Linked DNA regions of Drosophila melanogaster. The main gene of each other region encodes a partner of the protein of the gene in region 2 in a complex. Each region holds a gene or a part of one and is shown on either strand. Other genes may lie near its edges.

Region 1 (6,974 bases), 6.6 Mb from region 2:
CAAGAGGAAGCTCAAGCAACAGACGGCTGACCTGATACGGTAAGTTTCTAACTGATGGCGTTGTGGTCCATCTCTAATCTCTATTGTGTTTCTTCATTCAGCATCAAATCGATTCGCCACGAGCTAGACGATGAGGAGGAGGACCTGAATGATCTAAAGAAGCGCCGCAAGCAGCGCGCCGAGAAGGCCAAGTTTGAGCCGAAACGCCTGGGGCGTCACAAGTTCGAGGAGCCAGACCTAGACGTAAATCTGCCCGAGGATATCGCCGGAAATCTGCGCAACGTGAAGACTGAGAGCAGTCTGCTGAAGGACCGCTTCCACACGCTGCAACGCAACAATATGTTGCCCACGACAAAGCTCGTCAGCCGCAAGAAGTCCAAGGTCAAGCGCTTCGAGCGCAACTCCCACAAGGAGCCGGGCGTTAGCTATAATGACCTCAAGGAACGGCGCAGGGCGGCCGCCGCTGCAGCCAAGGCTACTGCCAATATCAAGATATAGTTCAGTTATTAGGTCTCTTTATTTTTAACGGAGCTTACAACAATATGTACTTTTCTATAGAATTAAAATCCACATTCTTTTTCCCCCCAAACGAAAAAAATTATGAACTCTAGATCAGGGACTTGCCCTGACTGCGTCTCTGTTTCGGATTGTTCTTCTTTTTCTTCTTGGACAGCGGAGCTGCCAGGTCGCCATCCTCACGCGTCTCGATTGGTCCATCCAGTCGCTTTACGCCACTGAAACGAAAGAGAGGCAAATACGAAATAAGTTATATTTTTTTTAACTGAGTGATGTTTATAATAAAACGAAACTGGAGACAAATAAATAAACGTGGTTATGTATTAAGCACATTATTAAAAAAAATAGGCGCACCTACCTCTTGACGGAGAGCAGCCCGCTGCCACCGCCTGTTCCGTTTGTTTCCAGCGCCTTGGACCAATCCTCTTCGGTGCCCTTGATTTGGAATTCGTCCAGCTGCTCGGCCTTCAGGCGCTTCAGCTCCTTGCGCTGCTGCTTGCTCAGCTTCTGAGCGGTTTGATCCAGCTCCTTGTCGAGGGACAGAGTCAGCGGTTGCAGTTCCTCGCCCTTGGACAGATCCGCCTCCCGCAGCATGCCGCCTTCGATATGCTCCTCCAGTACCGACCGGAAGCACTGATTGCACCGTTTCATGGCATCGAAAAATTTCGCCAACAACTGGTTACCCGGCATATTCAGCTCCAGACCCAACGCATCCACAGTCTTGCCCTGCACGCCCAGAGCCAAAAGGATGCCCTGCTGCACCAGGTCAAGCTGCAGACCATCGATCCTGCCCTGAAAATACAGCTGGGCAATGTCCGTGAGCAGATCGATGATTAGACGAAACTCGGACTGCTGGCGGGCGTAGCTCTCCAAGCGCTGCAGATCGTGCGGCAAGAAGTAAACATCCAGCATTGGCTTATCGAGTACTTTCAGTGCACTACCTTCCGTGTCCACGGACTTGTTCTTCAGCAAGGCCAAACAGAGTTTCGTCTCGAATTCCCTGAACGTCTTTCCCATCAACTTGAGGACTCTCCTGCGGAAGTCCTGGTAGTACAGGCCCAGCCAGGGCGTGGCATTGGGCGTGTGCAGCATAATGCAGCTATGCTCGGCGGTCAGTTCGTTAGATTTCTGGCTCAAATAGACGGGCACAAAGCCGGCGTTCTTCCAGAACTTCAGCAGCTCGGTGGTGAGGCCATAGGATGTGCCAATATAGTCCACGTGTTCCGGGACACGTTCGTGCAAGCGCTGCAGAAGTGTGGGTATACGACTACGTGGCCGGATTTGTTCCTTCAGCAGACTAAGTTCCTCCTCCTCCACTTCCTCGATACCTATGCAAAATTTAAAGTATTATGTAGTGCATAATAAACCATTGGCGTGCGTGCACTCACCTTTACCAGCATCCTTGCTGGCAACTGGACCGTCCTCCAGATTAGTGTGCTTCCTTGCATAGTAGTCCTTGAGCAGCTGAATGGCCCGCTTGCCATAGCCCATCCTCTGGTAATTCGGATGCGTGGCTACCCTCACAATGCGAACGCCACACAGCTTGGGAAAATCTCGATCGCCATACTGCTCGGCTACGTTCCAGGGAATCAGATCGCCCGCCGCCTTCTTGCCCCTGCCCAGGGAATCGCTGATGCTCTGGGCGGAGATCTGACCCTCCAGTGCCACTTGGATAACCACCAATATCTCTGGCAGGGCGTCCATTCGCTGAACCGGACCCAGTAGACAGAATAGATGATGCGCCGGGGCATCGCTCATCATCTGCAAATCGTTTGGTGTGTTCTTGTAGTGCGAGGACACATAAATGGAGACCAGGCGATGGAGAAAGGCCTCGGCAGCCTTGTGATACGAAAACAGGGCGTCCCTGTCCACATAGTACAGTTCACAAGCATCCGGCGTGGGACAGCCCGAGCTAATACTCGGCACCGTACTGGCATCCAAGCACAGCAGGTTGATCAGCCACTTTTCTATGTCGTCGTTCTCCTGATACCGAATCGATTCCTCCAGTTTCAGTGGCGGCCTTGCATTGTTATCCTTTTGCAGCTGGGAAATGAGCTTCAAGCTCAGCGATCTGCCAGTGCCCTCGTATCCATTTATCGTACTGGCCATGAATACCAAATACGGACCGATCATCTTCTTTACCAGCGGCAAAGGAATGGCAGCCGCCTCATCGATCAGCAGAAGATCGGCTGCGTTCAGCAGATGAGTATCGCTGGGAGCTATGTACTGAATGGTCTGCCTGCTGCTTCTCGTAATATTTATTCTTATTATCGCCTTTTTGTAGTCGGCATTGGTGGAGCGTATAATGGTGTAGTCAGCATGCTCCTGGTACTCCAAGGCATCGAAGCCCTTGAGCACAAATTCAAAGAGCGTGATTAAGTTCTCCGGATGCGGTGAGGTAACGTAGATGTTCACATAGCCAAAGGCGACGGCGGCGGCAATCGACAGACCCAGGGCGGCCGATTTACCACGACCACGAGCCGCTGTTAAGGACATGGGCGGCTTCAGTTGCTTGTCGACCAGCGCCTCAATGAACTGGGCAACGGCATTGGCCTGATCGTAGGTCTTGCAGAGATTAACCAGAGCTCCTGCTGGTTGAACTGTGAGCAGGCTCTCCTTCAGCTCCTTGAGGCTAGCCTCGTTGGGCGATCGACCGGCGCCTGCGGGCTGAAAGTTTAGAAACAAATGGTATTAGCTGCTTTAGAAGATTTACAAGCATCAGCTTACATTCACTGGCTCCACGTTGATGGTCTTGGAGCTAAGTGGCAGCACGGTGAGGTCATCGTTGACCACCAGACAGCGCTTGCAGTCCGCCAGGGAGAGAATGAGTCGCTCATTGAATCGACAGGTCACCGTCTGATGGGCTTCTGTGCGGAATCGCTTGTGCACATCCATGCTCATGGTGTACAACTGTTTCAGCGACTGCAGTGTCTTCAGCAGCAGGATGATCAGACCGCCGCCCTCAACCGTTTCCACAGTTCGAGCCAAAAGATTGGGGGTCAGGGCCTCGAAGTCCTGGAGCACACACACGCCGTAGGTTCGTCCGAGGACTGCGTGCGTCTCGGAGTAGTATCTGCCGTGAATGGTGGTGGCCACTCGAAAGGAATCGAACAGGTCCGCCTCATTGACATCCACTTTGCCCACAGCAATCTTCTTTGCTCGCTTTTTGCCATGACTAAAAATGTATCTAGTTAGCTGAGTTTCTGTGTAATAGTTCTACAGTTGGATACTCACTTGGAGATGGCCTCATCCTTGTTCTTGTAGCACCACAGGACCGTGGGTCGCGCCTTGACCGTCGACTTGGTCAGGATGTCGTAAAGAATGGGAACCTGGTCGCGCGCCTTGTCCCCGATGACGATGAACATGGTTCGGTGGCCCAGCTTGACCCCATTCTCGATCATCACGCGTATCCGGTTGTCTATTTTCTTCTTCACCATGCTTCGGCTTTCCTGCGTTCACTTTTCACTTAAAAACTCCGGTTTTCCGAAGTAAATAATGCAAATGAAATTGTTGCCCGTTCAAAATGCACGTGTGCGGTTTAGAGATGGGCGCTTTGTCGATAGTCGCGACTCAACTATCTACTTTACAATGTCACGGAAATCGTCAATCATATTACCATTGTGAAATGCACATGAATGTTGTTTACACGAAGTCTTAAATCGTAGAATTCGGGTGGGATTTGTATTGATGTCTTCAAGAAGGCAGCTTGAATTTCTACCAATGAGATTTTTTTAAAAATTCCCGATTAACACCACATTCGATGTTTTGAGTCAATGCGATACATTTATCGAGTAGTTGTGCATCTCTAATTCCCCAAGCGCACGTTTATCAAAACAGAACATATTTGATTGCTGTCGAGGATTAGCATAAATTGAAGATGTCATCGTGGAAGAATGCGTCGAAAAGCAACCAGAAGGTGCACAGGGAGCGCCACCAGCCGGAGTCGCGCCAGCATCTGGGATTCCTGGAGAAGAAAAAGGACTACAAGAAGCGAGCCATCGACGCACAGAAAAAGCAAAAGACCTTGAAGCTATTGTACCGCCGGGCGCAGAACAAGAATCCCGATGAGTTCTACCACCATATGATCAACTCCAAGCTGTCCAACGATGAGCACCACGAGAAGGACACGAAGGACGAGCACACGCCCGAGCAATTGGCCCTCATGCAGACGCAGGACCTCAAGTACGTGGTGATGAAGCGCACCATGGAGCGCAAGAAGATCGAACGCTTGAAGGCCTCGCTGGTGGACGTGGATGCCATTAAGGGAGCAGCCAACAAACGTATCAAATTTGACGAAGACGGATACATGGAGTTGGACATGGGCGAATGGCTTTTAAAGCATGATGACGAGGAGGAAGAGGAGGAAAAGAAGAAGAAATCGGTAGGTCACCTCTTTAAAACCAACGAGGTTGTAAGCTTTTGTGAGAAACTAATTTATAATTGATATTATACTTATGATTTATGATTCTACTTGTGTGTAACGATTGCCTTTAAATTTTTTGTAGAAAACAACTGAACCAAACCCCATCAAACAGCAGCGCATCAACGAGCTGAAGAAACGCGAGCAGCGTGAAAGGGAACTCGGCATCGTCCAGCAGAAGATTCAGCTGAAGAACACCCTCAAGCAGCCACGCCTACTGAAGCCGAGGAAAATAAAGCCGGGAACCAAGGACAGTGCGCCCGTCTACAAATTCCGCTACGAACGCAAGAAATAGAATATTTCCCCTCTAGTTAATAAAGCAATTAAGTGTTAGTTGAAGACTTTTGACAAAACTATGATTTTTATTGTTTTGGATTAAGGAATTACATATATAATTCCCAATTTTGAATGCAATTCAAATGCAAGTAACAAGTTAAATGAGATATGGCATCCTAGTTTTGGGTCATTAATTCGAATGTTCTGATCAGAATATTTATATATACCGAATAGAATAATATATACCGAAAAAAAACAAGAAAAAGTAAAAGCGAATGGGTATGTAACTCGACTAAACGCTTTTTTCAGATTCGTTAAATATTTAACGAAATTTAGATCTTTCCAGGGCACAAACCAAATTTAGTGCGAGTTTCGTTAAGTTAGGTACGCTTAGCCAAGTCATGACCCCAACTTCAAACTGAATTTAAACATTTGTAATGTTTTATTTAAAAAGTCAGCTTATTTTTTAAATTCATTCTTCTTATCTCCGAGGAACATTTCAAGACTAATATTTTATATGTGCTCTTGCAAGTTAGTGTATGCAACATAAGTTTTCAATATTCAATGTAACTTTTTTATGTTTGTCTTTTGTAAAAATAAGCAACCGGCTGCAACTTTTCGAATTGAAAACCGCAGGCGACAGACAACCGGGCAAACACTCCCCGTATCTCTTTTTTTTTTTTCTTTTTTGTTTGCCTGCTGGTCCTTGTTTTCCCCGATTAAAAACATATGACACCATTTTGATGAGTCGCGCATTTTGGCACGCCAAATTATGCATAAAATAGATCGCTATGTTGACACTTTCCACAACAATAGATGGCTAGAGACCGGCGTTAAGGGGATGGAAGGGACTTGAATGGGAATGGGATGGGATGGATGGGATCGGATCGGATCCGCGGTGTACGGCTAACCTAATCGGACTTGTCACGAGTGCATCACAACAAACCGGGCTCATCGGGGATGAAGTTGAGGATGAGTCCGAATGGTAACGCAAAACCTGCACAGATTTTTTAACTAGCATCAATTGGGTTTGTAATTTGAAACTTAACTGCCAAACTGCGAGGGGTTCGGGCAAAATGGTATTGGGTATGAATGAATGGAAATGGTATTGTGATTGCGGTGGGCACATGTGTGTGACTGCTCCGAATGAATATGCATGCAACTGGGGTGGCAGTGTATGTTTCGTTTCTATTTTTGTTTACCCATCTGGGGGCGGGCAGGTCAAGGTTTCCCTGAATATTAGTTGCCCCTGACAATGGACAAAGCAAATTCGCGCTTAAGTGTTTGCTTCAAACCGAATTTAACGAATATAATTACAGAATGGCAAAGACAAACCCCAGCTAATAACGATTGGTGGGTAATTTATAAATGATTGTTTCATATAATGATAAAAAAAAAAAACATAAAATATGGTTATTTTGTGTTTGGGAAAGGGATTTCATTGCTTTGACTTTTAATATTACATATGCTGCAAAAGGATTGGTGAAGGAATATAAAATGGATTCATTCAAAGGCTATATAGACCACCATATCCATGTAGATTACTTATAAATATGGATAAATTGATTTTATCTAAAACATTTCGCACTTTTCCAATGATTCATAACTTCCCACGTTGCAGTCCACAAAAAAGAGGATATGAGCATGTTGGGAGTCCTGTTCCCAAAACAGGATTAAGCATTCATTGTAAGCTCGTTAAATCGCGTTGTGTGTGTGTGTGTGTGTGTGAGAATGAATTGCGTGAAATATTTTTTTCGCCGCG
Region 2 (7,188 bases):
CACTGGTCGTGTGCGTGGGAAACTCTTGCTTCACCTGAATGGCGTAGGGATTGCTCGCATAGAACTGCTGCAGCTGCTCAGGGGATATCTGCAGTGGCACCGTGGTGGTGGCGGCCACCTGCTGGCCGGGATTCTGCGCCTTCTCCAGCGTGAGGCTGGTGTGGCGGGCAATTGAGTTGCAGTTAGTGTTGGGTGTGCTGGGAGCACTGGGCCTGTTCGGAGTGCTTGGGGTGTGGGTTTGCCTGCGGCCCGTGGGCGGAGTTCCGTGCCGATGGCTTGTGGGGGTGACTGAGCCTGATCCCGTTGCTGGGCCTGTTCCTGAAGTCGCCTGCTGCTGGGCAATGCCGGGATGCGGGGGGCTGGCCACATCGTATTTCTCGTCGAAGGTGATTCCCGCCTTCTGGGCGAGCGTTTCCAGGCACTTTAGTGGCCGCTCGAGCTGCTTGCCACCCACCTGCTGTTGTTGCTGCTGCTGGTGCGAGTGTGAGTGCTGGGAGCTGTTGTTGTTATTGTGGTTGTAGTTATGGTGGAGGGGCTTCTCGCGGATGTTCGAGTTGTCCTTCAAGGGAAGAGTGCCTCCTGCTAGAATCGCTGATGCTGAAATCCCCTGGGATGCTGTGGTGCTCACGGGTGTGGTCGTATCGCTTTCTGTGTCCGCTCTGAGGATTGAAAAAGAGAAGTTTGGCGATCAGTAAACATTTGCTCAGCAAAAAAGAGCAATGTCATTTCGGACCACACCACACGCAAACAAACTGGAAAAACAGTGTTCCTAATGGCCTTCTCTTGTCCTAGCGACAAACAATAGGAAGGCAATGCAAACACGTTGTCAGCATCCCCGTTCTGCCCCCTGCTCCCCTCCCCGCTCATGCAAAACAAGCTCTCCCAGCTGAGAATCGGACTTGACCCAAAAATAAGGTCAGCTTTCTCATCATTATTTGTTATTATTATTTATACTGGCCGTGATGTTTTGAAAACGGCCCTTAAATTAAACATTAAAAAATTAAATTTAATGATCATGGAAAACTAACATAACAAAGAGCTCAAAGAAGCTGGGGTCGGAAAAATCGAATTTTTGAAATTTGAAAGCTGGAATCGTTTGCCCATTTTTTGCCCATGTTTGCCCACCAATTAGTTTTTTTTGCCCACGTCCAGTTTTTGAGATATGAATTTTCGAAAAAGTTCGAAAATTTTCGAAAATCAAAAATTTCGCTTTTTTCAAAATTTTTTTTTTTAAATCGCAATAACATCGTTTGCCCACGTTTGCCCACCCTTTAGAATTTTGAAAAAATTTATACTTTAGAAAATATAAGGCTTTTAAGTTTACCTCGGTCTAATCAGAGAGTAAATCGTTTGCCCATCTCTTAAAACCAAATATTATCAACAAAAAAGGTTTGCCCAACCATTATTATTAGTTTTTATCGTTTGCCCACCCTTTAAAAAACCTTTAACAAAAATTTTTTTTCGATTGCCCACATTTAAAATACACCCAATTTCGTTAGCCCACCTCTTTAAAATAAAAATTTCCAAAAAAAACGTTTGCCCACCATTTAAAACTAAATAATTTCGTTTGCCCATCCTTCAAAATTCATTTTTAACGTTTGCCCACCCTTTAAAAATAAATTATTTATTTTTAAAGGATGGGCAAACGAAATTATTTAGTTTTAAAAGGTGGGCAATCGAAATTATTTAGTTTTAAGAGTGGGCAAACGAAAAAAACAAATTTTAAAGGGTGGGCAAACGAAATAATTTATTTTTAAAGGGTGGGCAAACGTTAAAAATGAATTTTAAAGGATGGGCAAACGAAATTATTTACTTTTAAAAGGTGGGCAATCGAAATTATTTAGTTTTAAGAGTGGGCAAACGAAAAAAACAAATTTTAAAGGGTGGGCAAACGAAATAATTTATTTTTAAAGGGTGGGCAAACGTTAAAAATGAATTTTGAAGGATGGGCAAACGAAATTATTTAGTTTTAAATGGTGGGCAAACGTTTTTTTTGGAAATTTTTATTTTAAAGAGGTGGGCTAACGAAATTGGGTGTATTTTAAATGTGGGCAATCGAAAAAAAATTTTTGTTAAAGGTTTTTTAAAGGGTGGGCAAACGATAAAAACTAATAATAATGGTTGGGCAAACCTTTTTTGTTGATAATATTTGGTTTTAAGAGATGGGCAAACGATTTACTCTCTGATTAGACCGAGGTAAACTTAAAAGCCTTATATTTTCTAAAGTATAAATTTTTTCAAAATTCTAAAGGGTGGGCAAACGTGGGCAAACGATGTTATTGCGATTTAAAAAAAAAAATTTTGAAAAAAGCGAAATTTTTGATTTTCGAAAATTTTCGAACTTTTTCGAAAATTCATATCTCAAAAACTGGACGTGGGCAAAAAAAACTAATTGGTGGGCAAACATGGGCAAAAAATGGGCAAACGATTCCAGCTTTCAAATTTCAAAAATTCGATTTTTCCGACCCCAGCTTCTTTGAGCTATAACAAAGTGATATCCGTTTTTTTTTTTTTTTTTTTTGTTTAAGCAAATATGGCTACTTGGTAAATACAAAAATCTGGTTTTAGTCATTCAAAAAAGTGTGAGACAAATGCGGGAACTAGCAAACAAAAACGCTCTTATTAAATAATCATATTTACAATGTAAACATAAAAGATGACTTTCGAGAGTGGCAGAAACAAACGCGGGAAAAGTAAATATGACTCTGAGGTAACGATCACCTTTAACTCGGGATAATATCAAAACTATAGTTCCGACTTAATCACAAGGTCAAGCCTGAAGATATGTACCATGTCATTTCAATTTCTAATTAAGAATTGTGTACCCTGGTTAACTTTTAGGTAGAGATCCCGAGCCCGATCCCGATCCCAATCCCTATCCCGAAAATATTCGTTCTTTTTGTGGACCTTTTTCCGAACCCGCCCTTTTTCAGCGACAATGAACATTTGGCCAACTACTTAACGGACTTTCGCATTCAACGAATGAAGAGAAAGGAGCTGCCTGACAGCCTTCGCATTTCACATCGATCTTTATCTATGGGTTTTCGAATTTCCATGAGCAGCATGGTAGTCGCACTCGTTTTCCACGTTCAACGTTCGACAACAACAGCCCGGAAAACTAATTTAGCCACGCAGCTGGCACCGTTCGATATTATTGTAAAAGGGCAATAAAGCCGATGCGAATTGCAGGCGAAGTTCAAGGACCTTTCCATCGAAATGCTAAAAATGCTGACAGTTGGGAGCAACACGAGATGGTTAGTGTTTTATACAGTAGTGCTCAAGCTAATAGGATTAGTGGACAAACGTAAATGGCTGAGTACTCCACATGGTAAGGATGTTTTTCTAGAAATAATTAACTAATATTACTTCCTGAATCAGTTCCCTGATATAGTTCAACTATGAATGATCTAACTGGAGAAGCGTGGTTTCAAGGTCCTATTGCATTGACCGCGACTGTGATGCCCGGCAGTCCAGAGAGCCTGATCCCCACCCCTTTCCATCGCCCAAAAAGCCCGCAAGGCCCATAAACAGCAAGAGCATAAAAAGCATGAGTGCAAAAAAGACAGAAAAAGGAGCGAAATGGGTTATAAAAGCCGGTAAAAGCATTTTGGCAACCCTCATGTCGCTGCTACCCCGTAAAAGAAAGGGAATATGGGGTGGGTGGTCCAGAGGGGTGGAATACTCGCCACAGGGTGGTGGGTGCGCGTGTGCAAGTGTGTGTAAGTTAAGCTCACGGCCGCACGCTGCGAAAAACCTCTTGAGAGAAAAAAAAAGACTGGTTTCCATGTCGCCATGGAGTAGGGTACATACATTCGAGCTCGAGTGTGTGAGAACCCCCGTAAAACAGCCTGCTTGCAATCGGGGGGAAAGCAGTAGCGGTGGGAAAGGAATGATCAAAATGCGGGGCAGCACACACACACACAGACACGCCGATAGGGGTGCGGGGGAAAGGTCGCGCTCAAATCAAACATCACCTCCAGTGGATTCGGGCGTGCAAAATGCGCGGGAGCGAGCGAGGAGGGGGGGGGCCTTGACAGCCTATTGATTGATACACAAACGAGTTCTGCAATCGAAGAAGATGAAACAAATGTGAGTGAACGAGATGAGGCTATGGCCAGGCCGTACACACAGTCACATAAACTCAGAGCGAGTGCGGTGTAGCGTAGGTGTAAACAGAGTTGTCAACTATTTATTTACAAAAACTGTTGTGCTTTAAACGAGTCTAAAATAATTTAATCATTCTGGTTTATTTTCTTGCCACGAACAATTTAAGTTTGTAGGTAAAAATTAGCATTCAGTGATAACGGACTGTAAGAAATATAAAAGTATTCAATAAAATTGAATCTTCGTTAAACCGGAACACAGATTTCTCAGATTCGTTACAGCTGACAACCCTAGACTGTTTATTTCGGCAGAGTAAAGCAAAATGTAAGCAGGGTTGCCGCAGCAACAACAAAAACTGATACCTTTCGATATAGAACTTTTGTTTTCTTTATGTTGCTTTGTTGCGCGAGTGAGAGAGGGTTGCACGGAGAGACGGAGAAATCAACCACCACCAGCCGACGCACACACACAAATGCAGACACGGGCATGCATTGCGAAATTCGTTGTTAAAAATGCAACAACACCGCACAGCGGGGGGCGTGTGTCGGTTGGATGATGAATGGCGGAGAGGGCGACGGAGGGGAAACTCGTTTTGGGTTTCATGAATTTATTTTCTTTTCTTGGCCCGCCAGTCGAGCGCATTTTATGATGACAGAGAGCACAGAATATCCACTCGCTGCATTTTTACGAGCATTATGATTAACGTGTCATTATTATCCGAATACGATATAGAATCAATATCCAATGCTCAAGAGCAGATTAAACCAAAAATTGTAAACAAAAAGCACAAGTGCAGGCAGTACAAAAGCAGTGATAAAAATAAAACCAAACTAAACAAAAAATACCTTTTTTGCATAAACTTCAATGCACGACGATCCATTATTCAAAATAAAAACAATATTTATAATAAATTATAGGTATGCATGCGTCGGCTTAGGCGTTTTGTTTTTGTTTTCGGCGGCGGCGGAGACACTCGTGGTTGTTTTTGTTATAGTCGGCATGGCGCTTTCTTTTTAGTCCTCAGTTTCTTCTCTTTTTGCTATTTGCCGTATTATATTGTACATTAACAAACACGCACATGTGTGAAGGCAATAAATATAAACATACAACAGGCAACACCAAACATATACATATGTATGTAACGTGGAACGCAAGACAACAAAAGTACACAAAACGAATACGAAAATCCGACAAAAGTCCCAGTGTCTCGTGTGTGTGTGTGTGTGTGTGTGTGCTTGCGTGTAAATGAGTGTTTCGTGCACGGGCAGTAGTAATTAGTACAACCTCCACTCACAGTCACTCCACTTCAACTTCTCCCCGCTGGCTGCAGGCACTTTTCTTTTTCTCAGTGTAACGACTAAGCACCTGTGCACGCGATCTTACATAAAATTAAGCCACAGTCACAGCACTAAGTACTTGTTTTAACTGCACTGCCTACGTCGCCAGCGACGATTCGCCAGCTAGGGGCTCCACTGTGGCGCGGCATCACTTTTTATGTCTGCACATCTGCACTAGCTAATCAACAGCACCGTTAGCTCTTTTTGAAAAAAATTTAACAAATTTGCAGGGTATCCAGTGAGTATGTCGCGTCGGCGGGTTTTTTCTTCGTTCAATACACATGCGATGCGGTATGCGACACATACGACACCACACCAACACGAACGCAGAGAGAGCAGAGCGCAAGAACCGTACACCGCCAAGTTAAGTTTCAAACTGAACCGCGCGCCACAGCGACAACTCTACTTTTCGTTCGGATCGGAAACAAAATGAGCGCATGTGCGCTGAATATGTGTGTGTGTTGGTGTGCAGCTGGATCCGCTTCTCTCTTCTCAGATGCCGTTGCGACTAATAACTTTTCTCTATACCGAAATGCACGGGTGCGAGTGCGACGCCACTAGGAGTGGCCCTGGCCAGTTAGCGCGTGCGAGAGGGATGCCGTGCGTTCGCTTGGGGTTGGAATGAAACGGCAGCAGTTCGTTTGACAAAGCAAAACCAAAACGAGTAAAAAAAACAGGAAGACTACAGCTGGCGGGCATGTGTATGCGTGCTCAACCACCCCGACTGAAAGCCCCCTTCCGTTGCTGAAAACATAACATGGTCTGGTGACTCGACTTTCAAATACCCCTTTTTCATATACCATTCCTCGCTAACTTCAGTCGTATCCTTAAAATGAAAACCCTTCTTAAATATTTATTTGTAAGTTATTGGTGCTGACTACTAACACAAATTCCAGTTAAAACCAAGTGCCCAGTATACCCTTTTACTTTGTGGGTACCGGGTATGTACATACATAAATACGCGCGAAGCCAGTTTTATGTGTGTACACTCGAATGTCTACCGCCCGGCCCGACTCGACAACGATTGTTGCTATACTTCATCTTCTTTTTTCGTGCCATCACAACCACCACCACTACGACTACCTTCCTACCTCTACCTCCTTTCTCATTCCTTCTTTTTCACATCAGATCGGGTCGGATCGGCTTTACCTTATTATTAGTTGTGCTTGTCAGTAACACACGGGTGTGTCGGTTGAGAAGGGGAGGATAGCGTATGCGCAGAGGCAGAGCGAAATCTTATTCTCTCCACCCCATTGAACAGTGGTAAGCGATCCATTATTATTGGATTGCTTTACAGTTGCAGTTTGAGAACCAAGAGTACAGTGGGTCAATTTTTTAGAACAGCAATTTTTCCAAACTTTTTATACATATAAACAATGTTACGATAAGTAAAATGAAAACGTTTAGTAAAATAGAATTATATAATAGACATACGTATTGAGTTGATTTATTAAGTTTTAAGTTTATTAATGTTTCAAATATCCACCACTCATGACCCACTGTGCCTGTCTTTGTCATTTCATTTTTCATTTTGTGCCAGCCCGTGCGTGTGTGCATGCACCATTTGTAGTATGTGTGCGTTGCTTTGGGCTCTTGTTGGTCTTCTTCTTACTCTTCCCACCTCATCCAACAACAACGTCGCTGAGCCCCACAAATGTTTTCATTCCGATTAGCTTTTTGTTGGCTTGTCTCGTCTCGTTTCCTTTTCTTTTTTGCTGCCGCCATATTATTTTTAGGCTTTTTAAGT

The links. Proteins that work in one complex are often made in the same cells at the same time.
Region 1: ph-p (region 2) and l(1)G0020 share a complex: the UniProt entries of both Drosophila melanogaster proteins name them as parts of the PRC1 complex.

What each region holds. Positions count from the first base shown.
Region 1 is NC_004354.4:8,716,213-8,723,186, forward strand, and holds l(1)G0020 (lethal (1) G0020), read right to left. Parts: upstream 4,066-6,974; 5' UTR 3,954-4,065; coding exon 3,751-3,953; intron 3,692-3,750; coding exon 3,244-3,691; intron 3,184-3,243; coding exon 1,905-3,183; intron 1,845-1,904; coding exon 875-1,844; coding exon of another isoform or gene 871-874; intron 854-870; exon of another isoform or gene 735-853; coding exon 608-734; 3' UTR 501-607; downstream 1-500. Other genes in the region: CG1785 (uncharacterized protein), read left to right, coding at 1-39, 102-498; CG1789 (uncharacterized protein), read left to right, coding at 4,394-4,897, 5,022-5,231. UniProt on the Drosophila melanogaster protein: RNA cytidine acetyltransferase with specificity toward both 18S rRNA and tRNAs. Catalyzes the formation of N(4)-acetylcytidine (ac4C) in 18S rRNA. Required for early nucleolar cleavages of precursor rRNA at sites A0, A1 and A2 during 18S rRNA synthesis.
Region 2 is NC_004354.4:2,131,068-2,138,255, forward strand, and holds the start of ph-p (polyhomeotic proximal), read right to left. Parts: upstream 5,556-7,188; 5' UTR 4,985-5,555; coding exon 4,950-4,984; intron 660-4,949; coding exon 1-659. UniProt on the Drosophila melanogaster protein: Polycomb group (PcG) protein. PcG proteins act by forming multiprotein complexes, which are required to maintain the transcriptionally repressive state of homeotic genes throughout development.